Linked DNA regions of Elephas maximus indicus. The protein of the gene in region 3 interacts with the protein of the main gene of each other region in a pairwise test. Links are inferred from orthologs where the notes say so. Each region holds a gene or a part of one and is shown on either strand. Other genes may lie near its edges.

Region 1 (7,714 bases), on a different chromosome or scaffold from region 3:
CAAGACAGTGTAGCCTTAGATGAACTCATGTGGGCGTCTGGTTCTGATGTTCCCTACCTCCCTGGTTTACCTGAGCAAGAGTGAGTCCTTCTTCTTGCTCCAGCTCCTCAATTAAGGCCAAGGGGTCTCTGTGCTGTTCTGGGGACAGCAGATCTGCTAGAAATTGAGGGTGAATGATGGCCTCCACCTGGGGAACAGAAGGAGCATGATGTGAGAATCTTTTGATGGGAGATAACCTGTGAACCTACAGGTTCTAGAAAAGAAGCCATGAGCTCCCCACTCCCCAACCCCTGCTATAAACCATCACCACCAGGAGCTACACATAGTCGTGTGCATCCTCACACACACATACACTTCTCAGGAGTTACAGAATACCGCCTAGTCCCTAACTGCTTTGGGAAGAACCCCAGATCTTTGATTCCCATGAGTGCACACCACCATGATGTACTAGAAACCAGACCTCCAGACACAGCCCACCTTGGAAACAAAGACTTCCTGAGAACACAGCTCATCGATGTAGCTCAAGAGATCCGGATCTGGGTACATCCCTTCCTCCTCCTGCTGCTGCTCTTCTTCCTCTTCCCATTTTCCATCAGACTCCCCAGTGGCTGAGTGGCTCCCCAACAGCCCTTCCATGATGTCAGTGTACTCTTTCACTGCTTCCGGTGGGATTTCCTTGGGTGCCTCAGGAACTGGAGGCTTCTGGGACTTGCGCTGCCGCCGGCGAGGGGCCCGCGTCTTGGAGACTGCCTTCTTTGGAATGTACACTTAGGAAAAAGGTGGGAAGGAGAAAGGCAAAGTGGCATGGAAGCTACAGCTTCTATCTCCCAGCCTTGTTTGGAAGGGCAATCTGGGTGCAATGAAATGGTTCCAGGCTGGGTCGGGCCAACCAGAACACCAGCCATGGGAGAAGACTTAGGAACTGGAGGTTTTCGAGAGAATCACAGAATGAGGAATCTTGGAACTCCAAGAAATCCCCTAATCCAGCCCCCATTTTTTCGACAGATTAGGTATTGTGGCCCCATTTGACATTCAAAGGAAGAGTAGCTAGTTTACTTGGCCAAGATCAATAGCTAGTTGGGGACAAAGGAAACCTGAGAACCCAAGCTCCTAGGGAATGTCCTGTTGGAAACAAGCAAATACCACTCCCTGGAGGAAAAGTGGCAGAAGCGAGAGCAATGCCTTCCCTAATCCGACTGGTTTCTGCACGCCTCCCTTTGAGCCTCTGGCCTACAGCTCCTTGTGGAATTGGGTAGCCATACCTGGCTGCTGGCAAACCTCAGGGGCTGGGGGTGCTGGAGGATCGAGTTTAAGAGGGTCTGCAGGAGGCAGGCATTGGGTCTCATTCAACAGCTGTGCATTCTGAATCTGCATCTCTTCCTCAGTCTCAAACTCCATGAACCTGCAGAGGGTGAGGAAGGCACGAGCAGTGCTGAGAAGGCAGCCAGTCCCATGAGGAAGCCAGACACCAGGCAGCAGCCATACACAGGACAGGATGTATCCTGAGTTGGACAAAGTCCTGCCTAAGTCACATCACCCAGAAGGGAGCTGTGCACAGGTGACTGAATAACAGTTCACGGGCAACCTCACATGGTCACCATATGGTCCCTTTACTTGCAGTCATCACTTAGGATGCTTATTTAGAAAATGATCTAGTGCTTGTAAGCTTCTCTAGAACAGAGGGTAGCTTTCGCTTTCTGTGCTCCATCTCACCCAGCATCATAGGTGGCTGCCACCACACTAAAACAGGTTCACTGCATTAAACCAACGGGGGACAGCATAGCAGGACCCCTCCGCTCCTTAAGGCCTCATCTGCCCCAGCCTACAACCACAAAAACCCAAACCAAACTCACTCCCATGGAGTCGATTCCAACTCACAGCAACCCTATAGGATGTGGTTAAACAGCCCCACAGAGTTTCCAAGGCTGTAATCTTTACAGAAGCAGACTGCCACATCTTTCTCTTGCAAAGTGGCCAGTGGGTTCCAACCACCGACCTTTCAGTTGGCAGCCGAGCTCTTAACCACTGCACCACCAGGGCTCCTCACAACCACAAAAAAAAAAAGGATGGCTGAAATCCTGAAGATGGGCCCAGGGCTGCAATTCTAGGCAGTACCCACCAGGAGGCAGTGCTCAGATCCAAGAGTCATGAATCTAGGACAAGGGCTCTGGATGGGTAAAGCCGGGAGGATTTGGTTCAGAAGAATTTTGGGAGAAAGTGGAAGCTAAGCCTGGAGGAAAGGATTCATTTTCCTCTGAGTTATTTTTTTTTAACCAAGGAGATTATGGGGAGAGAAGAGCCAGGAGACCACTCAGGGCTCCAAGGACCTAGCTTCCCCCTAACCAACTTTTTCCAGACCAGACCCTCCCTGGGAGGACGAGGTAAACAATTTTATGTGCCACTATTTCCAAAGGAAGTATGGTCCCAGGTTCTGCATCCATAGCCACTTGCTACCTGGACAGTGAGAAAGGAAGAAACCTGCTTAGTACAGCTCAACTCCTCCTGGCTAGTTCCCTCTGACAGCATGGGATTTTTACACCTATCAGGCTCCCCAACCCCATCCAAAGACTTTCAATCTCATAGAGACTCAAGACCTGGAAGAGGGGGAGTTTCCAAGGGTAGACAGGATGTAAAAACAGGAGCAAAGGTGGTAGAAGAAGCAACGTGAGGGGAGAGAATAAAGCCTTCCAGGATCCAGGAGCGTGTCTCCTTATCTACGCCCTTCTTCTAACATCCTTTTTCATAATCACCCAGACACCAGCTTCTCTTCACAGTCCCCATCGCTCTCAGCCACACAGCCCCCCTCAGGAGAACGAGGGTTCGTGGGACTCACTTTTCTGCCATCTCATAAAAGATCATCCGGTCAAAGTTGCTGGTGCGCTCCCACTCCTGGACAGCCCTCGGCAGTCCCTCCTCCAGGGTCATGGTGGGCTTCAGCCGGGCCAGGGAACGAAGCACTGGGCTAAAACCCCCCGTTAGGTCAGTCTTATTCTCCAAGTACATCCTCCCACCCACCTCAACGCACATCCCCGGCCCTTCATCAGACCTGACATGCCCTGCTCCTGTCACGTCCCACACCCAATGACACTTCCAGACTCCCCACCCTCCCATCCATTCATTTTACCATACTCTCCTCTCTTCCAGCTGAAATGTGCTCGCACACAATCAAACAGATGATTCTTCTCCCCACATTCTGAAATCAACCACACTGCCTCCACTCCCAATTCTCACAGTGCTGTCCTCCAACGTTAGGAAGGAGAGAGCACTTGTGTTCTTAATGAGAGTCACTACAAAGTAGGTGTTAACCCTGCCCAGAGGCTCTTGAATTTTTTAAAAAAGGAACCTGAAGGAATCTCTCATTAAAGGTTGTGTGTGTTTTTATGTGTTGATTTTTAAGTGTTTTTGCCTCCTGGATACCCTTCACCGTCGGTCAGGTATCCAGATATCCATACTAGACCTCCCACTCTGGAAGGCTGCTGAGCCCTTTCTGATCTAGAAGAAATGGAGAGGCCAGCCTAAGGTAAGGGCTTCGTTTTTGCCTCTCTGACTTTTCGTGAAGTCCTCACACATTATTGTGCATCAATCAAAATCGCCTAGGGAAGTTCGTTACAAATATGGATTTCAGCAGCCCACTCCCATGATCCCAAAAGTGAGCATTTTACTAGCTTCCTAGGTGACTGTTTCAGAGCATCTGGACTACACTTTGGGGAAGACCCTGCCCAGAGCCCCTAAGTGTGGGAGCAGGAATAGGCAGGCCAGGACCAAAAGTAAACAGGTCCCATGCAAACCATGAGGGCCTGTGCTGGCTCAGGATTCAGAAATCCAGCCTTCCAGGCTCTGGGAGAGAATCCCAGGTTGGCTCGAGAAAGCAGGGAATCAGTGATATTGTCTAAAACTGGGATTTTGGGGAAGTCTCTTGATTTATTCATTCCAGGGTCAGGTGGAGGGAGAGGTTCCTTTAGGAGTTCAACCACTGCGGAAGCAACATGTAAATTCTTTAGAAGTCCAGTAAAATGTGGTATGCGTTCTAGAGTTGTTTATACAAAATGTTGAAGGCACAGTGCAGACCCAAGAGAGGCAGCAGGTCTGGGTGAGAAGCACTGAATACTCCCCAGATGACCAATATTTCTGCTTTATAAATGTAACATGACCCTGGACTCTTCTGCTAATCATTTACTCACACATTCACACTCTTGGCAAGGATATTTTGGTCTATTTTAAGTTCTTTTCCTCTTCTATGTTGCCTTTTTATAATAATAATAACAGCTACCATTTAATGGAAGGCAGTGGTTGCTTAACAGGAGACCTGGGCTCCATTCCTGGCCAATGCACTTCAAGTGCAGCCACCACCCACCTGTCAGTAGAAGTGTGTGTGCATATTGAACAGGTTTCACGGCAGATCCTCCCGAATAAGACAGACTAGGAAGAAAGGGCTGGCAATCTACTTCTGAAAACCAGACAATGAAGACCCTATGGATCACAATGGTCCAATCCCACTGTGAATATGGTCACCATAAGTCAGGGCCAACTCGACAGCAGCTAACAACAACCATCTAACCTAACTTAACCTGTTGCCAGTGAGTCGATTCCAACTCACCGTGACCCCATGTGTTACAGAATAGAACTGCTCCATAGGGTTTTCTTGGTTATAACCTTTACCAAAGCAGATAGCCAGGCCTTTCTTCCACGGCATCACTGGGTGGGTTCAAACCACCAACTTGTAGGTTAGTAGCCCAGCCCAAACTATTTGCGCCACCCAGGGACCTACAACAACAACCACCATTTAACCAGGCATTCACTTTGCTAAGCACTATAACAAACACATTTAATCTTCTCAGCAGCTATCTGAGGTAAGTATCATTATCCTCTTTTTAAATGAGAGAACTGACAGTTAAAGATGTTAAATGCCCTGGCCAGGATTACAAATCTAATGAGTAGTGGAGCCCCTGACCACTAAGCATGCTCTAAAAACCAAAACAGTTGCAGTCGAGTCAATGCCAACTCACGGTGCACCCCATGTGTGCCAGAGAAGAGGTGTGCTCTGTCAGGTTTTCAATGTAGATTGCCAGGCCTTTCTTCTTAGGCACCTCTGTGCCAATCTTTTGGCTAACCATTACACCACCCAGAGACTCCCAGCACACTCTACCACCTCCCTAATTCAACTTGAATTCTCCTGAATAAAATGGGGGCAGGTGAGGGTAGGTACACACAACGTTCTTTGCCTGGCCCTGCACTGTCCTTTCTTCCTGCAGGAATGGGTCATGGCCCAGCACTCCTTGTCCTGGCCAGTTGGGAAGCCTCAACTCATGTTAAGAGGTAGCAAAAGAGAAAAGGAGGATCACGGCACTTGTAGTCAGAGACCTAAATTCAAATCATAGCTTTTCACTTTATGATGTAATCAAAGACCTAAATTCAAATCATAGCTCCTCCCTTTATGATGCAGTCAGAGACCTCAATTCAAATCACAGCTCCTTGCTTTCTGATAGGAAACCTCTCTGAGCTTGAGTCTTCTCTGTATGTAAGGATTACGGTAAAGTTGCCTGCCTGAACTCACAGGTTATGAGGGCCACTTGACAGAAGATACCTGAAAGCATGTTATAAACTGGGAAGTGGGTTAAGAGGCTTATTATCATTATTATTATTGTGCTTTTATCTTCTCATAGCATCTGCATTACCCTCATGACCTGCCTTCAAGTACTCTTAGATAAATAACCTAATCACCTCACAGTCCTCCGTATTTAAAAGCCCTAGGATAATTAATATCAGGCCTCCCCACTTACATAAGAAAGCAGGAAAGAGCTTCTGCATCAGGACTTTGGGATAGGTGCCTCCGGGCCAAGGCTTTGTAGCGCTGCCAACGTCTGAAATTCTCATAAACGCCCTTGGAGGTATAGGAGAGGTCACCCAGTGAGGGCTTGGATGGGGCAGCTGCAGAGCCTCCTTCCCCGGGAGCCCCATGTGGCCCTGGCCAAGCCTTCTCCACGGGGACGGTGGGGGCCAGTTGGGCCGCTGGTGGTAGAGCTTGAGGAAGAAGGCCTGGGGGCCCCTCCTGGCTCACCCCAACAGTCTTAGCAGGCAGAATGTTCTTCACATTAGAGGCTGTCATGAATTGAGGTGGAGGACCATCAGGGCCCCCGCGAGGAGCACCTGAGGCAATCCAATTGAGGGCAGTATGAGTAAGGATAAAGTTCTGAGTTTGAGGGGACTCAGCTGGCCCCCCTTCTGTCTTGACTTTGACAATGACCTTGCCAGCCCCGGGCCCACTGGAGCCAGGGCCCCCATCCCCTGTCATCAACAGTCGGCTGGGGAAAGCAGACAGCACTAGAGGGGTGCCTGGAGAGAAGGCTGAAGGCATGGAAGGCCATGGGGGTGGCTCCCAGGGTGGCTGGTCTGGTGGGCCTGGAGTAGGTGGCGGAAAGGGAAGGGCAGGGAAAGGAGACATGGCAGCGCCAGGTTTCATGGTCATATCCGGTCCTGACAACGGAGATGCTGTTGAGACAAACAAAAAGAGCGGATGGAGTAGGAGAGAGGGAGACTGGCATTAGACCATCTGGGTCCCCCTAAATCACTAAAGAACCAGAGAACTGATTCTCAACAGGTGGGGGAAGAGGCATGGACGGGGAACTTATGTAGTTTGCAACTGCCCCCACAAGTGATCTGGATGTTCTTTACTCCCAGCTGAGAATTACTACACTAGAGAAATTGTTCCCTTTCCAAAAAGACATGGAGACCCTTATTGGCCACGAAGAGACAAGCCCAAGCCATCACTGCCTGTGACCTCCTTGCCAGCCCCATAGGCTGTTTGCCAAGACATGGAACAGGGTTGACACCAGCTCTGCAGAGGAAACAGCCCAGAGCAGGCTCACAAGCGTGTAAGAGACCTAGTCTAGAGAGGTTCTGCCCCTTCTCCAGGTACCCACAGGGCCCTTAAGGAGGCAGTTTCAAAAAGATTATTAGCCCTATCTCCTCCTCAGTCTTCCTTTTACCTTATAAATCTCCCCTCTCTTTCCTGACCTAAAACACAGAAGAAGAAAGATGCAATCGACTAGCAGGAGCAAGGACCCTTGGACCCATGAAGCTTACACCCCATAACACATCCCACCCAGCATACATGTACATCTGCTATTCCCCTCCATTCCAAGCAGAGATTCAAACCTGAGCCCTGCTCCCAGCTGCTCTGTGGTCCCTGCCACCACTCACAGAAGTGCTGTTACCAGGAGAGGTGGTGTGGACTAGATATTTGGTTCCCAGAAATTTTGTTATATAAATCAAGAATGATTAGAGAGAAAATGGGGGGGGAAGTATAGAACCAAACCAAACCCACAGCCATTGAGTCGATTCCCGACTAATAGCGAGTCTGTAAGATAGAGTAGAACTGCCCCATAGGGTTTCCGATGAACCCTGGGGGATTCGAACTGCCAACCTTTTGGTTAGCAGCTGTAGCGCATAATCACTACACCACCAGGGTTTCCTGGAGGAATAGGGAGGGAGCTCTAAGTAACTGCTGGGAAAGTTAAAATTTGGCAAAGGACACTGTCTGTGGTTCTTCTGCTTTGAGCTCCTAATAACCTAGAAATTTAGGGCCCACTAAGACCGAACCGTGTGCAAAGGGAAGGACCATGAAGCCTGGAACAGAGTTCCTGCTCACGAGGAGCTCATGTCGACGCTAGTCAAGGGGACCAATACACAAGATGTGTACTTACTCAGGATGTGT
Region 2 (7,882 bases), on a different chromosome or scaffold from region 3:
TTTCAGTAAATGCTCTAATATATACAAGTTCACAACAACAATAACATCAAAAAAACTGTGTGTGGTTACATAGGCAGATACGTATGCAAATATGTGTATAGAAAGGCATATGTGAGTAAACGTACCTGCATGTATAGGAGTATCTGTAGGCATTTGTGCGTGCTGGATTTTTTTTTTTTTTTATATAATGAAGCACATAAGGGACACAGTTATGGAAGCTTCCTGAGCATATCCAAACAACTTGTGGGATTGGTTTACTGGGTTAAAAGCAAGGCTTCAAACTGGTTCATTCCAGTTTGAACCCTACTGAGAATTTACATTTCCACCCCAGGTATACTGAATCAGAATCTACATTTTAACAAGAACCCCAGGTAATACTCATATAATAAATCTTGAGAACCACTGCTCTGCTAGTGATTCTCATAATTGGTCCCTAACCAGGAGCATTAGCATGGCCTGGGAACTTGTAAGAAGCCCTGGTTAAAAGACTTAGGACCATAGTCTAGTGGGACAAATCAGTCAATTGGCATAACATAGTTCATAAAAATAATGTTCTACATCCTAGTTTGGTGAATAGTGCCTGGGCTCTTAAACGCTTGTGAGCAGCCATCTAAAATACAACTATCGGTCTCAACTTGAATGGAGCAAAAGAGAATGAAGGAAACCAAAGGCTCAAAGAAGAAACTAGTCCATAGGACTAACAGCCCACAGGAACCACAGCCTCTTTTAATCAGAGACCAGAAGAACTAGGTGGTCTCCGCCTACTACTACCGACCATTCTGACCAGGGACATAAGAGGTCTGAGACAGAATCAGAAAACAATTCAGAACAAAATTCAAATTCCTAAAAAAAGGCCATACTTACTGGACCAAAAGGGATTAGAGGAATCCCTGGGACTGCTGGCCTAAGATACCCTTTGAACTTGGAACTGAAGCTATTTCTGAAGGTCACCTTTCAGCCAAATAATAGATTGGCTTAATAAAAAAAACAATATTATGCATGTATAATGTGCTTCCTCGAGCAATCAACTATACGAGACTAAATGGTCGACATTTACCCAAAAGCAAAGATGACAAGGCAAGGAGGGGAAGGGAAGCTGGATCAATGGAAACAAAACAAACAGAATGGAAATAATGAGAATGCCGACATATTATGAAAATTATAACCACTGTCACCAAACAACTTGTATAAAAATTGTTACATGGGAACCTAATTTGCTGTGTAAACTTTCACCTAAACCATAATAAAATATTATTAAAAAAAAGAAAATATAGAGGAAAAAAATCATTACAAATGATACAGGCCATTTTTTTCAGTTTTCAAGAGAAACAAATTTTAAAAAACGGACTCCTTTAGTTAGCAAAAATTTATTAAAAGAACTTAAAAAATGCCCAATTTTGGAAACAGGTTCAAACAGCTTCCAAACACGTTTTGGAAATGTAGGCAGTGTCACAGAACCCGGTGATCCAGGGCCCGTTTTTCTCCCCACACTAAGGCGTGCCTCTCTTCACGAGTGTGATCCACCAACCAACGCACTGGTGGGCTCACTGAACAGGTGTAGCAGGTAAATGAGCAGGCGAGATTCAACCTCAAACTGCGTTTTCGAAGCCTACCTCATCCTCAGTACAAAGCTTAGTATTAATTTAAGAATTTGTATTTCAGTTTTTCGTCTCCCCTTCACACACACACACACCTCTTCGCCCAAACCGCAAGAAGCCCGCGCCACCAGGTTCCCATAGCCCCCAGACGCGGCCAAGGGCACAGACGCTCCGCGATAAGGCGACTGCGCGTGCACGTCATCTCGCGATTGCAGCCCGCTAAACCAAGCCCAGAGGGGGCGAGAACGGAGGCCCGCCAGCCCCGCCCCGCCCCCCGCGCAAGCCCAGAGGAGAGGCTGGCCGGGTCCACTAGGGAGCAGAGGCTCGCCCGCCCCGCCCCCGCGGTCCGCGCATGCTCAGAGGCAGGGCCGGCGGGGTCCGGGAGAGAACAGAGGCCGGGTTGCCCCGCCCCCGCCTTCCGTGCCCGGCTTCATTCCGCGTTCGAAGGGGCCCGCTTCCCCTTCCGGAGAGCGGCGGCCGGCGCCTGCGTCTGTCCCGGCCACTGCGGAGTCGCTACTGCGGCGAGCATGGCAGCTCTGAGCAGTGCGACCGCCTTGCGCCTCTGCGCCACAGGTATGGCCGCGCGCGAGACAGGAGAGCCGGGGATCACCCCTGCGCCGGGGGTGGCCTCTGGACTGGGGGTTACCTGCGGGGTCCGCGGGGACGTCTGCGGGCTCCCGGCCTCCCCCTTCGGACCCCGCGCAGTCCTGCGGCGTCCTGACACCTTAGGGTCCTCCACCCACTCGGCATTGCAGTGCATACCCGGTGCCAGGCCCCAAAAGATGCGCTGTCCCCCAGGAGATTCCCTGTCCTCGTCTTCGTCTTTTGTGGCAGGGGTACCGTCGCCCTGGCTTCTCAGACAGGCGAGCAGGTGACACTTTCCCAACGTGTGGCCACATTTTGCTTTGGCTTTTTAGGGGCCAAGTGTTGTCGTATTTGGAGGGTTTTCACCATCCATGGGCAAAGGGAAGGATGGTCAAGGACAGATCACTATCAGACCGCTGGAATTGTGCAGTGACGGCGACAGCGGTGTGGTGACCCTTTTGGGCCTCTTCCTGCCGGCCTCCCTGCGTTCACTTACTCAGCAACCATTTGTTGCCTTTCCACTATGTGCCAGGCACTGCTCTGTCATAAGTACTAGAGTGGTAGCTCAATTCTGTTTCTATCTAAATATTAAAAAAATAATAATATTTTGGATGGCACTTGAAGTTAGAAGTACTAAGGAAAGGGGAGAAGTATAGAACAATTTCTGTCTCTGCTCCGAACAGGTGGAATGCTAAAATGGAAAAATAGGATCAGAGGAAAGATATGTTGAAAAAGAGCTTTTATATTTTGAATTTACTATCATACGTAGGACTTACCTGTCACAGGGAAATTACGTTGCAGAATAAATATCTATCAAACAAATGAACTCCTTGTGGTTTTCCTTCACTTGTACCCCGGGATGAATCAGTGATAGAGTTTCTGGTCAGAACATCAAAAAAAAAAAAAAAAACGTTTTATAGATGACTAAGCGTCAAGTGTGAACGAAATGATAAATCAGAAGTATACATTTAGTCTCTTCTTTCTGTTTTTCAGTTATTTTTCTTGACATGGCTTTTGGTAAGAGTGTGGTGCCAGATTTAGATGACTCGTGAGTATACGTATTTTGTTTCAATAGTATTTTAATTTCTAATTCTGTTGTTAACCTGAATATTTACATGTTCACATCTTAATAATCTAATTCTAATCTTAATAAAAATAATAGACACTATGCTCATATATTACCGATTTTATCCCAGGAGTTCTAAGTGCTGTTTATATATGAGATAGGGTTATGCTCAAAAGAGTTTTACTGATATTTACAAGGTCAAAAACGTGGCAGACCTTTCAATATTCTATATTACCATTCTATAGCACCTGAGTGAGTGCCGGAATTTGGGACATACTATATCTTTTACCCCCACAGCATTAGTCCCAAGACCTTGCTTATAGTAGCTGGGGAGCCTAGCTCCAAGCCAAAATCCTGTATGTACTCTTTCAGGCCTGACCATAAGCAGTTACTGGCAGGCCTCATGGGAGAAGCTGCGCTGCCCACACCAGACGAGTTGCACAGCTGGTGCCCTGTGGTGTCTGGAGGGAGTTGTAGTCAGGCTCTCAGGACCCCTCCCCCCATAATTGCCAGCCATACTCATATGCATATCTGCATTCTTAGCCCAGGCACCTCCATTTGTTACTTGTTACTTCCCTTCACTTTGACCTTCCACCCTCAGGCCCCCCCCCCCACCCCGCCCGCCCAGTTCATGAAGAGGAGAAGCCTTTTGCTTGTGGCTCCTCGGCAGCAAGAGGATTCCCCATCTGCGCTGCATACTTACTCGGGTGCTCTGCGTGCAAAATTGCGTCCAGTGGTTGCTGTTAGCTCCCAGCACGTCCTGGTGCCAACAGACCTTCTTCAACACAGCAAGTTATTGAATCTCAGGCCTTCAGTAAAAAAGAATGTAGGGCCTGTCAGGATCCCTTTGCCCAGCAGCCTGAAGAGACCTTAGAGCCTCGGTTAGTTGGCTTCCATAATGAAGAAGTTGATCTTGTTAAACTTAGTGAGGGAGTGGTGCCTTGTAGGGCATGTCATTACAGACCTCTTTGCAGATGCACTGACAGGAAGCCTTAGTTTGCCTAAGGAGGAGGTGGCTAGTGAGAGGGCATGAACATCGAGACTCTCCTTCTGCAGCTGGGTACTGTTTGGGCTCTGATAGGTCTGTCCCACCTATGAAGAGTTTCCTGCCACTGAAAAACATGTCTGGGCCACCCTCTCAGACTATAGTGTCCCTGTGAACCACCCTGGTGGTCCGTTGGGTCTATAATGAGGGATTGGGAATAATTGGGTCATGAGACTGTTAACCTGACCCAGATTTCTAGGTTTTTCCGTACTACTCTCTCTGGTTACCTGGCCCAGTTAAACCTCCTCATGAGGTCAGGTCATTTGGTCCATGATACAATCTGAATCTTAACTGACATTCCCAGACGTGGAAAAAATGGCTACTGCCAAGATAGCAAAGATCGACCAACAGAAGAGTGGTAACCAGGTGCCTTTTCCTGGGCAGCCCGGCCAAGGGCCTTCCTGAAAAGACTCAGTCTAGTTACTTGAAAATAGGGGTCTCAAAGGAGGAGATTGATAGGCTTTCTGCCAAGGAACTACTGGCCAAGTACTTTGATATGGAGGTCTGACAGGCAGCTTCATTAGTATCTGCCCACTGATAGTCCCTTGTGGCTAATACAAGTGTTGTCCCCAGTGGAGTTGGAGACCCCTGCCAACTTTACTTGGGTGTCATGAATTGAATTGTGTCCTCCCAAAAATTCTTGTCAGCTTGGCCAGACCGTGGTTCCCGGTATCATGTGGTTATCCTTCATTTTGTGATCTGATGTAATTATGTGTTGTAAATCTTAGCCTGTGGGGAAACCCTGGTAGCATGGTGGTTAAGTGCTGTGGCTGCTAATCAAAAGGTCAGCAGTTCGAATCCACCAGGCGCTCCTTGGAAACTCTATAGGGCAGTTCTACTCTGACCTGTAGGGTTGCTATGAGTCGGAATCGACTTGACGGCAGTGGGTTACGGGTTTTATGCTTATGGTTATGGTCCCATTTTGGAGTAGAGTTGTCTACTATGTTAATGAGGCATGATTAGGTTATATTAATGAGGATCAAGGTGGGATGTACCACCCTTGCTTGAGTCACAGCTTTACCTTACAAGAGATAAATGGAGAGAGAAGGAAACAGAGAGGAGGGAACTCCTACCACCAAGAAAGAAGTACTGGGAGTGGAGCACATCCTTTGGACCTGGGGTCCCAGCACTGAGAAACTCCTAAACCCAGGGGAAAATTGATGAGGACCTTCTCCCACAGTGGACAGAGAGAGAAAGCCTTTTCCTAGAGCCAGCACCCTGATTTGAGACTTCTAGCCTCCTAAACTGTGAGGGAATAAATTTCTGTTAATACCATTCACTTGTGGTATTTCTGTTACAGAAGCACTAGATAAACTAAGACACCGGGCCTCTCATCTTTAAAAAATACACAAGACTAGGGGTTAGCTGGAGGTTCCTTTGTCCTCAAGGGGCACCAGAGGTCTTATGCCAAGATCATAGTTCTGAGAGAAAATTGCAGTTCTTGGGCCTTTTGGATACTGGTACACAGGTGAGTGTGATCACTGCAACTCCTGGCACCAGCATGAGAGGGAAACAGATCATACCATCAGGTTTTGAGGCCACTGCCACTGATACCCTGGCCTAAGCCCAAGTAACCTTCAGGTTCTTGCATACCTGCGTTTATTGGCCACTCTGCTGAATATATTACTGGTATTGATGTATTGTCAGGGCGCAGAACTACTCACCTTCACTCTTAAGCCCTGATGGGAATTATTGTAGTAGGGCCATCTTAGTGGGGCATGTGGAAGACTGTAGTCCCCCTGGCACCTGGGCGGTACACATGGTTAACTGCTCGACTACTAGCTTTACTGCTAGCTCAATTACTAGCCCCCACAGAGGCGCCTTAGAAGACAGACTTGGCAGTGTGTTTCTGAAAGGTCACAGCTTTGGAAACTATATGGAATGGTTCTACTCTGCACACATGGGGTCACCATGAATCAGAATCAACTCAATGGCAACTAACAACAACAAAACCAATGTCCAGTGCAGTTGTCTCCTAAAAATAGTATCAGCCACCTGGAGGAGAAAAAGATAGAACCTTCCTCATTGCTGAGCTTAAGGAAGCCTAGCCTGTCTGGCTTGTGCAAAAGGCCTTGGGTGCCTGGACTCTTTCCATTGATTATAGGCACTCAGTGCTGTAGTCCCACCCTTGGCACCAGTGATACCTGATATTGTGATTGTCACAGAGGCTGTCACCCAAGCTGAGAGAACTTGGTATTCAGCAGTTGACATCACAATTGCCTTTTTAGCATAACCTCTCCATGGGTATGAACAGGCTTGATTTGTCTTCATTGCAGAATGGGTTGCAATCCGCATTAAAGGGTTCTTCCACAAAACTACCTGAATTTCCCAGCTGTCTGCCAGCAATGGGTAGTCCATGATTGGAAAAAGTCTCACTCCCAGTGGGAGTACTAGCCTTGATGACATCTTCCTGGTGGACCCAGACAGTCATCACCCGATAAGGGCTGGAGGTCCTGATGACACACATGCAGTAACACAGCTGGGCCATTAACACAGGCAAGGGACAAGGGCCTCTAGTATGCAGGTGAAATTCCTGGGCATAATGGAGTCACAACGACTCGTTCCAGAGAAGATTGTCACACTTTTGGCTCTCTCTGCCCTAAAAAATAAAAAAGAGGCACAGCGATTTCTGGACCTATTCAGCTACTGGCATCCACCTACTGGGCTGTTACCTTTAAGTGGGGCCTGACCAACAGGGCACCAGGAGTTCTCTCCAACACACCCACCTGGATCCCCTTCCTTTGGGTCGCACCCATCCACTTTTGCTGTTTGACTTATAGGTTTCAGCAGCTTCTCAGATTGGAACCTGTGGCAGAAAATCATTGCCACAGGCCAGCAGTGCCCATTGGGCTTTTGGACCTCTGAGTTCCTGGAGTTGACTGAAAGATATACACCTTTTAACAAACAATTATTGGCCTCTTAGTGGATGCTGAGAACATGAGCCATGATCATGAAGTAGTCATACAACCAGAAATCCCAATCAAGTCAGTCTGAGCAGAGGCCTTGGATTACTGCATTGTGGCAGTTCAGGAATCCTTTCCAGTCTCAGGAGTGCCCCTACCCGTCCCAGGCGTATTGACCAAGGATCTGCTGCCTCCACTGGCCCATTAGGGACCCAGATATAGAGACCTTCCAGACCACACATGGGCCTGGTTCACTGATGGCTCTGCTAGATTAATTTGTACTGGGGTGAAATGGGGTGCAGCTGCCAGTTAACCTGAGAAAGACCTGCCCCTTACTGAGTGTGGTAAAGGAAACTCAGCATGATGGGCAGATTCATGCAGTATGGATTACTACTCTGGCTAACCCAACAAAGGAGCTCTGCTGTATTTTAACTTACTCATGGGCTGTGGCTGTGGCCTGGCCATTTGGTTGGGCCACTGGCAAGCCTTAGATTGGTGTGTAAAACAAGCCCCCTGTGGGGACAAGACATTTAGATAAAAATCAGCATTGCTCCTAGTAAGCTTTGTGTTACACATGGGAATGCTCACCAGAAACAGCGCTCCACTGAGGAAGGGAAAAATAACCATCAACCAGGTTGCACCTGTCAGCTAAAGGAGGAGACTGGCTGTCCTTGGCCCTAGAGCA
Region 3 (7,978 bases):
CTTCCGGATGACCTCAGCCCCAGCCAGGGCAGCCCGCAGGCCCTCGGCTTCAGCTCGGCCTGCCTTCTCTGCCCGCGCCAGAGCCTCCAGCTCCATGGCCTGGGATTCTAGCCTTATCTTCTGTTGCAGTGAGGTCTCCCGCAGGAGCCGGATCTCCTCCTCAAACTGCCGCAATTCTTGCAGCTGCCGAGAGATCAACTCAGCCTGCTGGGTCAGGGCCTGAGACCCCTCCAGGGACCTTCAAAGACAGGTTCACATAGGTGAGATGTGTTTCTGGTACTGGGAGGTTGGACACAGATACTCGGGCCTCTCTGCTCCCACCCAGGGTCATAGGAGACAGGAAGAGGCAAAAGATTCCTCTGCTCCCATTGGGGTAGGCAGGGGCATGAAGATGGGCCACGGGGCCTCTGCAGAGAGGCATGAGGAATACTACACAGGGATCTCTATATTTACATCACCATCACCATTCATTGAGGCCCTGCACATATCAGGTCCACTGTCTGGGCTTATAAGAAGCCCTGGTGGTGCAGTGGTTAAGCACTCGGCTGCCAACCTAAAGGTTGGCAGGTCAAACCCACCAGCCACTCCATGGGGGAAAGATGTGGCAGTCTGTCTCCATAAGGATTACAGTCTTGGAAACCCTATGGGGCAGTTCTGCTCTGGCCTATAGGGTCACTATGAGTTGGAATTGACTCGATGGCAGTGGGTTTGGTCTGGGCTCACAGGACCTAAGGGCTAGTTGAGGTCATGAGACATACACCTAGAGAGAGCCATATATATATATTAAACATCAAATGCACACAAGGGTCGCAGTAGAAGAGGAAAGCAAGAGGTGTGGGAAACAGTGTGAATAGGGTATGCCATTAGGAAACACATTCTGAGTGGAGAGGTTGGAAGAACACTCAGAGACTTCTGAATTCTGATGTAAGGGCAAGGAAAAGTTCGAAGGAGGAGCAAAGGTATAGCACTCATGAGCTTCTAGTACCAGTACAGTAAGGCCAGGGGTTAGTTAAACGCACCTAGTGAGTGCTCAGTATATTACATGAGGAGTCAAAGGGGACAGTACATCAATAAATTACATAGACCCTACCTTTGGGGAGTATATAGTCTACTGGTGTCGTGTAAAGTTTAAACTAACTCATAACAAGGCTCTTGCGATAGCTTCCTCATTGAAGCCCAAAACCAAAAGATTTTTCAGAAGAAAATTAACTGGGCAAAGGTCTGCCACTTGGCAGCCAAGCTAGCATTAGAGGGTCTCCGTCCCCAGTCCAGGGGTCCCTCTTCTTCATTATGGTCCTTCCTCTTTGGTGGGGTCCAAGGTAGACTCATGTGTGTAAGCCCACTCTAGAGCAAAATGGCAGAATGACATTCCAGTCTATTTGGGGAAAACACACATGAAAGGTCAAAAAGTTTTACAGACAGCACATCAACAAATAGCATGGCAGCTCTAAAGCCATGTCCTCTGTAAATGCTTTCTTCAGCTACACCATCAGAATGACTCCATACCACCACAGTTGTTAGGTGTTGTCAGTCGATTCTGACTAATAGCGACCCAATGTGACAGAGCAGAACTACCCTATACGGTTTCCTAGGCTGTAAATCTTTACAGAAGCAGATCGCCAGTCTTTCTCCCTCAGAGCCACCGGGTGGGTCGGAACTGCCATTCACTTAGCAGCCAAGTGCTCAACCGCTGCACCACCAGGGCTCCTTCACCACCACAGTACCAAGTCTATACTCCTGGTCTGCACATCTTCATGCTTATTAGGATCACCTGTTGACCAATCTGTCTCCTTCCCCAGGATTTTCCATTCCTTAATATCAGGATCTCTCATTCATTTTTGTTATCCTCATCCCTAGCCTTATTATTTATGTGTTGTAGGCACCCAATAGTTGTTTATACAAACATGAACAAATTATGGAACCTAGAGCTGAAACAGGGTAAGGAATCTGTTTTGATGGACGGTCAAAGGCAAGCAAGCCTGAGAAAACGACAATGATGGATCCCTACCTGACTCTCCGCCCTGGCTCTTGCCCATCACCAGAAGCATCCCGTTCCCACATTGGCACTTGAGGTCTCAAGTTGTCTAGCCGCCTCTCTGAGACATCTTGATGGGCTGGGGATTGGACCAAGGGAATGTCTGCAACCCAGGTGGGAGCCATTCTTGGCAGAGTTGGAAGGGACCGAGCTTGGAAGTGGGATGGGGGAATTAGCCCAGTGGAACCTGAGGAATCACAAGGGCACAGATGGTCAGTTTCCCAGGGAGAGGCAATCACCAGTCCCCTGCCTAGTCCCACTGACCTGAAGGTCGCAACGTCTCCACATTATTTGAAAGCTCTAGATTCTGTCTCCAGCCATCCATGTTCCCCTGGACAATTGGAGAAAAAAGGACACTCCAATTCAATTTTCAGTCCTACTTCCAAAAAGAAAGCCCCTACACTAACAAAGTCATCCTTCCTAAATAGCAGCCAGGTCCACCCCACTCTCACCTACTCCTATTTCCTGAAAGGAGGAGCTGCAAATTCACTTGGTTGTCCCAACCAAGATCCTGACAGAACTCTGGCAATAACCCCAGAGATGGAGGAAATTTACTGAGAGACAGCCTGAGGAGGGATGCACTTAGGTTCTACTCATAATTTTAGGGTTCTCGACAGTGCTTTTACCCTCTTCCTTAAGCTTCTATAGTCCCTGCTGGTCCTGCGCATCGAAGTTATGGATTCCAAGGGCTGCGAGCCCAATCTCCAGAGTTCTCTCCATGGCTCAGCAAGGCCTTGGGGAAGCCCATCCAGGCACCACCAAGCCATGACTCCTGGGTCCTTCCCTGTAAAAGCCCCTGCCCAAGGCCTGGCCCCAGGTGAACGTGGCCACATGTGGGGCAAAACGCCTCCCCGGGATCCCTGGGAATACAGCCAGCAAGATCCCTAGGCAGAAGGCCGTCTTTCTGCCATCTCATCCAAATCCTCCCTGCAACCTTCCTCTCAATTTCTTTCTACTATGCCCTCAGCTTTCATTCCTGTTGCCCACTCTCCCCTCTCCAAAGTCCTGGAGCATACAGTTAGCTCTTCAAGATCTTTTTCCCACCATCCCACCCCAATTTATCTATTTTTGACTTAATCGGGGACCTACTCCTGTCCCTCCCTACCTCCTAATCTGTTTTTACCCTGAAGGAATTATCCTGGCTCTTCACTCTCACCTCCCAACTCATCAGTGTACTTTCGCCCCCTGCACTCCAGCCGATGCTCGGTTCTCAACCCCGCTCTCCCCAGACACCCGCTTCCCCTGAGCCTTCACCCTCAGGGCGCTAAGGCTGTTCTGACCACCTCATCTAGCCCCTGTACCTCTTGTTTCCTATGGACCCCCTAAGCCCACCCCCGCACCCCTTTCAGCCCCTTCCCGCCCCCAACCGACTCTTCTCGAACGCCCCTTACCCAGCGCGAGAACACCCCCTCTGCCTTAGGCCACACCCCCTACGCCCAGCTCCGGGGCCTTGGACTCCGCCCCTGAGTGCGCCTGCGCAGAGCGGGCCGGTTTGTGGGCCGCTCCAAAGCCAGATTTCACCCCGGAAGGAGGGGCGAAGTGTACGCAGGCGCAGTAGCGTCTAAAACTGGGTCCAATTACAGTGTTTGAGTATCTCCGCGCCCTGGTGGCTCCTCCCAACTCCGGGAACCCGGGAAAACTTGTGAACCAATCAGAAAAGGTGAAAGGCGGGAGTGCAGGGATACCAGTGCGCTGCCCAATGGGATGAAGCGAGGACAAGAGAGCTGCCCAATCAAAGGCATCAGGGGGCGGGCCCCCTCTGCGCGAACTGGAGACCCGGGAATTCCGAAGGAGGGGTCGCGTCAGCCCGCGCACAGAGGCCCGGCCCCTCCTGGCTTGGGCACCCTCGCTGTCAAACATCTGCGGGAGCGCGGGTCCGGGCCAAGGAGCCCGAGGGGTCCTGGGGCCTCCGCACAGACCGACACTGTCTGGAAAGGAGACCACTCCGAGATGTCACTGCGTGGGTAGATCCGAAACCGGGCTGGGACCCGGAGGGAAAGGGCTGAATTAGTCTTGCGTGATTGCGGGGAGCTCCATCCGCTGTTTTCATCCCACCCAGGGAAACTGGGAAGCAGGGGTTTAGATCTGCTTTGGTGAAGAACTTGGGGGACTTCTCGGGGGGTGACAGTGGATTCGCTTCCCACAGGGTTCCAAACTAAATAGTTCCGAGTGAGGATTAACCAGAAAAGCGGGATGCGGGCGAGCAGAAGGGGTACTCCATTTGGCTAAGCAGGTTTGACAGGAAGCTGCTTTTTTCAAATTACACTGAGGTGATGCGCTCTATTGCACAGAAGCAAGCCCCCACTCCCTCCAGTTGGCATTTGCCCAAAAGCTGCCTAAGGTATCATTGCTTTGCACAGATTGGAGACGTTCCGATTATTTTGCGGCCTGAGGATCCGGCTCAACTGAGGTGCCATAGGGCGTGTTCCTGTTTTGTCACTGCACCAAGGACCTTCCCCGAATTTTCCAGTTGCAAAGCTGCTGGACTGCCAATTTTGCTTTGCATGCCTAGGCTCCTTGTCCCCTGAAATTCCCCTACTCAGGGAGTGTGCTCCAGGTTGAGTATCACACTCGGAAGAGAACTTGGACCAGCCATACACGACCCAGGACCGGCATAAAGTGATGGATTCCTGAAGTGGAAGGCGTGGTGCAAAGAAGCACCGCCCATGCTGCCTTGCTTCCAGCTGCTGCGCATAGGAGGCAGCGATCTCTACACCTTCCACCCTCCCACCGGGGCTGGCTGCACCTATCGCTTGGGCCGCAGGGCCGACCTGTGTGATGTGGCTCTGCGGCCCCAGCGGGAGCCCGGCCTCATCTCCGGGGTGCATGCCGAGCTCCACGCTGAGCGCAAGGGTGATGACTGGAGGGTCAGTCTGGAGGACCACAGCAGCCAAGGTGAGCAGTGAGCAGGGCGGCATTGCCCCTGAAGGGTTGCAGATCCAGGCTTTTGACTAAGGGGCTCCATGGGGGCTCTGCCTGCCTCCAAAATCCTTGTCTGGTTGGATAGAGCTGTGGTCCAGATCATTTTCCCCCCAAAGGGGTGGTGTCAGAAGCTGTCTGTAGGGGGCTGGGAAGTAGATCCGGTGCCTGGGACATCATCAGGGGGTATGTCTGTGGCCATTGGGGGCCAGACTCAGACTGGACCGTTTCCAGGTTTGTTGAGGCACCTGTTTCCATCTTAAGTAGTTGCATTAAATCACAATTTAATAATGGGAGTGTATCTTTTTCTCCCTGACTCAAAGGTAGTTATAGTCTCAGCCTCAGAAGGCCCGGGTTCACGCCCCAGTTCTGCCACTGGCTCCTGGTGAAACCTCAGGCCTGTCACGTCACCTCTCTGGGTCTTAGTTTCCTCTTAGATAAAACTAAATAGTAAGGCTTAGTGGGTCTGCTTTGGTAGGTGTAAGGATTAGATAATTATTGTAGCTAACACTCATTTAAGACTTCCTGTTTGAACCAGACACTGTTTTAAGTGCATTGAGTGTAGGGGGGCATTAATATCCCCATTTTACAGATGGGGAAAATAAGGCACAAAGAGGTTAAGAAACTTGTCCAAGAGCACAGAGTTGGTAAGTGGTGGAGCCAAGATTTGAACCCAAACAGCCTGGCTCCAGAGCTATGCTGAGATAATAACTGTACTTTGAATTGGAGCTGGGTGAGAGAGCTTCCACTGAGATGGAGGCATGGACCTCAGAGAGAGGAAAGGAATCAGCGTGGAGAGCACAATAAAAAAAAACTTGTTCCCAGCTCACAAGCTGCTTACTATCTGGTGTCACCACCTGAGGGGCTTAAAATATGAGGGAGGGAAGAAGGACAACAGCATGTCATATTCCTCCTGATGGGCCCCAGAAAATCGAACAGGTCTAAATTTCTCCACTCCTGACTCTGGTCCTTTCTTTTTTGTCACTGTCTGTATCTGTCTGGTGCCCCACCATCAACAGGGACCTTAGTCAATAATGTCCGACTCCCAAAGGGTCACAGGCTGGAGCTGAGTGATGGTGACCTCCTAACCTTTGGCCCTGAAGGGACCCCAGGAACCAGCCCCTCCGAGTTCTACTTCATGTTCCAACAAGTTCGAGTCAAACCTCAGGACTTTGCGGCCATTACCATCCCACTGTCTCAGGGAGAAGCAGGGTCCGGGGGTGGTTTCCAGCCGATGCTGCCCTCTCAGGGGGCTCCACAGCGGCCCCTCAGCACCCTCTCCCTTGCCCCAAAGGCTACACTGATCCTCAACTCCATCGGCAGCCTCAGCAAACTCCAGCCCCAGCCTCTCACCTTCTCCCGGGGTGGGGGTGGGCCCCAGAGCCTACCCCTTCCCACTCCCCCTGGGGAAGTGGGGACCACCCCTTCTGCCCGAACCCCAGCCCCCAGAAACCGGAGGAAATCAGCTCACCGAGTGTTGGCAGAACTGGACGATGATGAGAAAGGGCCTGAGAGCCCCCCGCCAGTCCTCATGGAGCCCAGGAAGAAACTGCGAGGAGAGAAAACCCCACCGACACCCATCGGGTAAGTGGAGAGGCCTTCCGATCATGTCTGCCTTCCAGCAATATTTCACTGCTTTCTAATTCTGTTTCAGAACCCCAGGCCCTGAAGAGGCCTTCTGCTTGGGGGTGGGGATGGGAGGTAGTGGGCAGAGGTGGAATTGATGTTGGAATGGCAAGACCTGGGCTAGCTCTGCTGACAGAAACAATATATATACAGGACACAGCAAGAGTTAGGTGGGATGGGGGCAGTGGTTTTAAAATAGATCAGCACAGAATTCCTACTTTTACATTCAGACATCTTCAACCCCACTCTTCTAGTGCCTAAGGATGGGACATTTCCAGGCTCACCCCACACATTTTCAGGGACTGTTTCTAGATCCACCCTACAGATTTTGAGGACCGTTTACAGGCTCACATTACAGATGTCTTACCAAGAGTTTATCTAGATTCACACTACAAGCCTCCAAGGAGTTTCCAGGTTCACCCTGCAGTTACCCAGATTTCGAGGCTTCTCCTACAGTTTTCCAGTGACCCTCGTTTTTGTGTCTTCCCCTCAACTTCCTAGAAACCGTCGTGGGCGTCCTCGGAAGCACCCAGTGAGCGCCCCCATGGCCCCCCCTGCAGTTGGGGGCGGGGAACCCTGTGCAGCTCCCCGCTGCTGCCTGCCCCAAGAAGAGACAGTGGCCTGGGTTCAGTGTGATGGTTGTGACACCTGGTTCCATGTGGCCTGTGTTGGCTGCAGCATCCAGGCAGCCAGGGAGGCAGACTTCCGATGCCCAGGATGCGGTGTTGGCATCTAGGCCTAAGGCCCAACAGAGAGGACAGAGCTGGGGCCTCCAGGCCAGGGGCATTAACAGCAAGGTGCACATGGATCCTAAGAGATGCCCCCTTCTTCCCTTCCCTCCCCAGGAGGGAATGATGCCAGGGAAGAGCCCATTGCCATGGATACTGAATTCAGGGACTGGAGCAGGCGCTCATGGCCAAAGGTGACAGAAGAGATGTTTCCTGCCAAAGATACTGCCTCCAAGAAGTTGTAGCCAGTGGATTGCAAATTCCCATTGACAGGTGGTAGAGCTTGTTGCCACGGACACCAGAAAGTCTGGGACCACAGCATCCATCAATTGCAAAGGCCATGCCTGGGAAGATATCATAAGCCCCAGTATTGGACAAGTGGGTTTCTTGGTGTCCTTTGATGGTATCACCTAGAGGATTCCGGGAAAACCTAGGACCTGGCCCCCAAATTGCCCTATACTGTGGCTAGTCCTACCCCTGGCCATGATCATCATAACCTAACTTTTGAGATCTTTTGGACTTTCTGCTTCTATTTCCAAATAAAAAAACAAGCAATTTCATTCATGTCTGGCTCTTTTAAACCACTGCCATTAAAATAAGGTAGTTGGGATTTGGTTAATTTCATGAGGACGGCAAAACTTTTACTGCCTTCACCAGCACCACCAGGAAA

Evidence for each region. The genes of interacting proteins can lie anywhere in the genome.
Region 1: the proteins of CCHCR1 (region 3) and NUTM1 interact in binary tests that used the Homo sapiens proteins (3 or more experiments, as listed by UniProt). The link is inferred for Elephas maximus indicus from reciprocal best matches to the Homo sapiens genes CCHCR1 and NUTM1.
Region 2: the proteins of CCHCR1 (region 3) and CCDC102B interact in binary tests that used the Homo sapiens proteins (3 or more experiments, as listed by UniProt). The link is inferred for Elephas maximus indicus from reciprocal best matches to the Homo sapiens genes CCHCR1 and CCDC102B.

Annotation. Positions count from the first base shown.
Region 1 is NC_064828.1:23,983,179-23,990,892, reverse strand, and holds the start of NUTM1 (NUT family member 1), read right to left. Parts: upstream 3,016-7,714; 5' UTR 3,004-3,015; coding exon 2,834-3,003; intron 1,403-2,833; coding exon 1,263-1,402; intron 768-1,262; coding exon 478-767; intron 188-477; coding exon 71-187; intron 1-70. UniProt on the Homo sapiens protein: Plays a role in the regulation of proliferation. Regulates TERT expression by modulating SP1 binding to TERT promoter binding sites.
Region 2 is NC_064829.1:76,614,873-76,622,754, reverse strand, and holds the start of CCDC102B (coiled-coil domain-containing protein 102B), read right to left. Parts: upstream 3,016-7,882; 5' UTR 2,960-3,015; intron 2,172-2,959; coding exon of another isoform or gene 2,126-2,171; exon of another isoform or gene 1,695-2,125; intron 1-1,694. Other genes in the region: protein disulfide-isomerase TMX3, read left to right, coding at 2,126-2,171, 3,177-3,231. UniProt on the Homo sapiens protein: During interphase, forms fibers at the proximal ends of centrioles to maintain centrosome cohesion. During mitosis, dissociates from the centrosome following phosphorylation to allow centrosome separation. Contributes to CROCC/rootletin filament formation.
Region 3 is NC_064819.1:91,462,719-91,470,696, forward strand, and holds the start of CCHCR1 (coiled-coil alpha-helical rod protein 1), read right to left. Parts: upstream 3,009-7,978; 5' UTR 2,869-3,008; coding exon 2,662-2,868; intron 2,367-2,661; coding exon 2,300-2,366; intron 2,223-2,299; coding exon 2,009-2,222; intron 239-2,008; coding exon 1-238. Other genes in the region: TCF19 (transcription factor 19), read left to right, coding at 4,702-4,930, 5,974-6,538, 7,082-7,316. UniProt on the Homo sapiens protein: May be a regulator of keratinocyte proliferation or differentiation.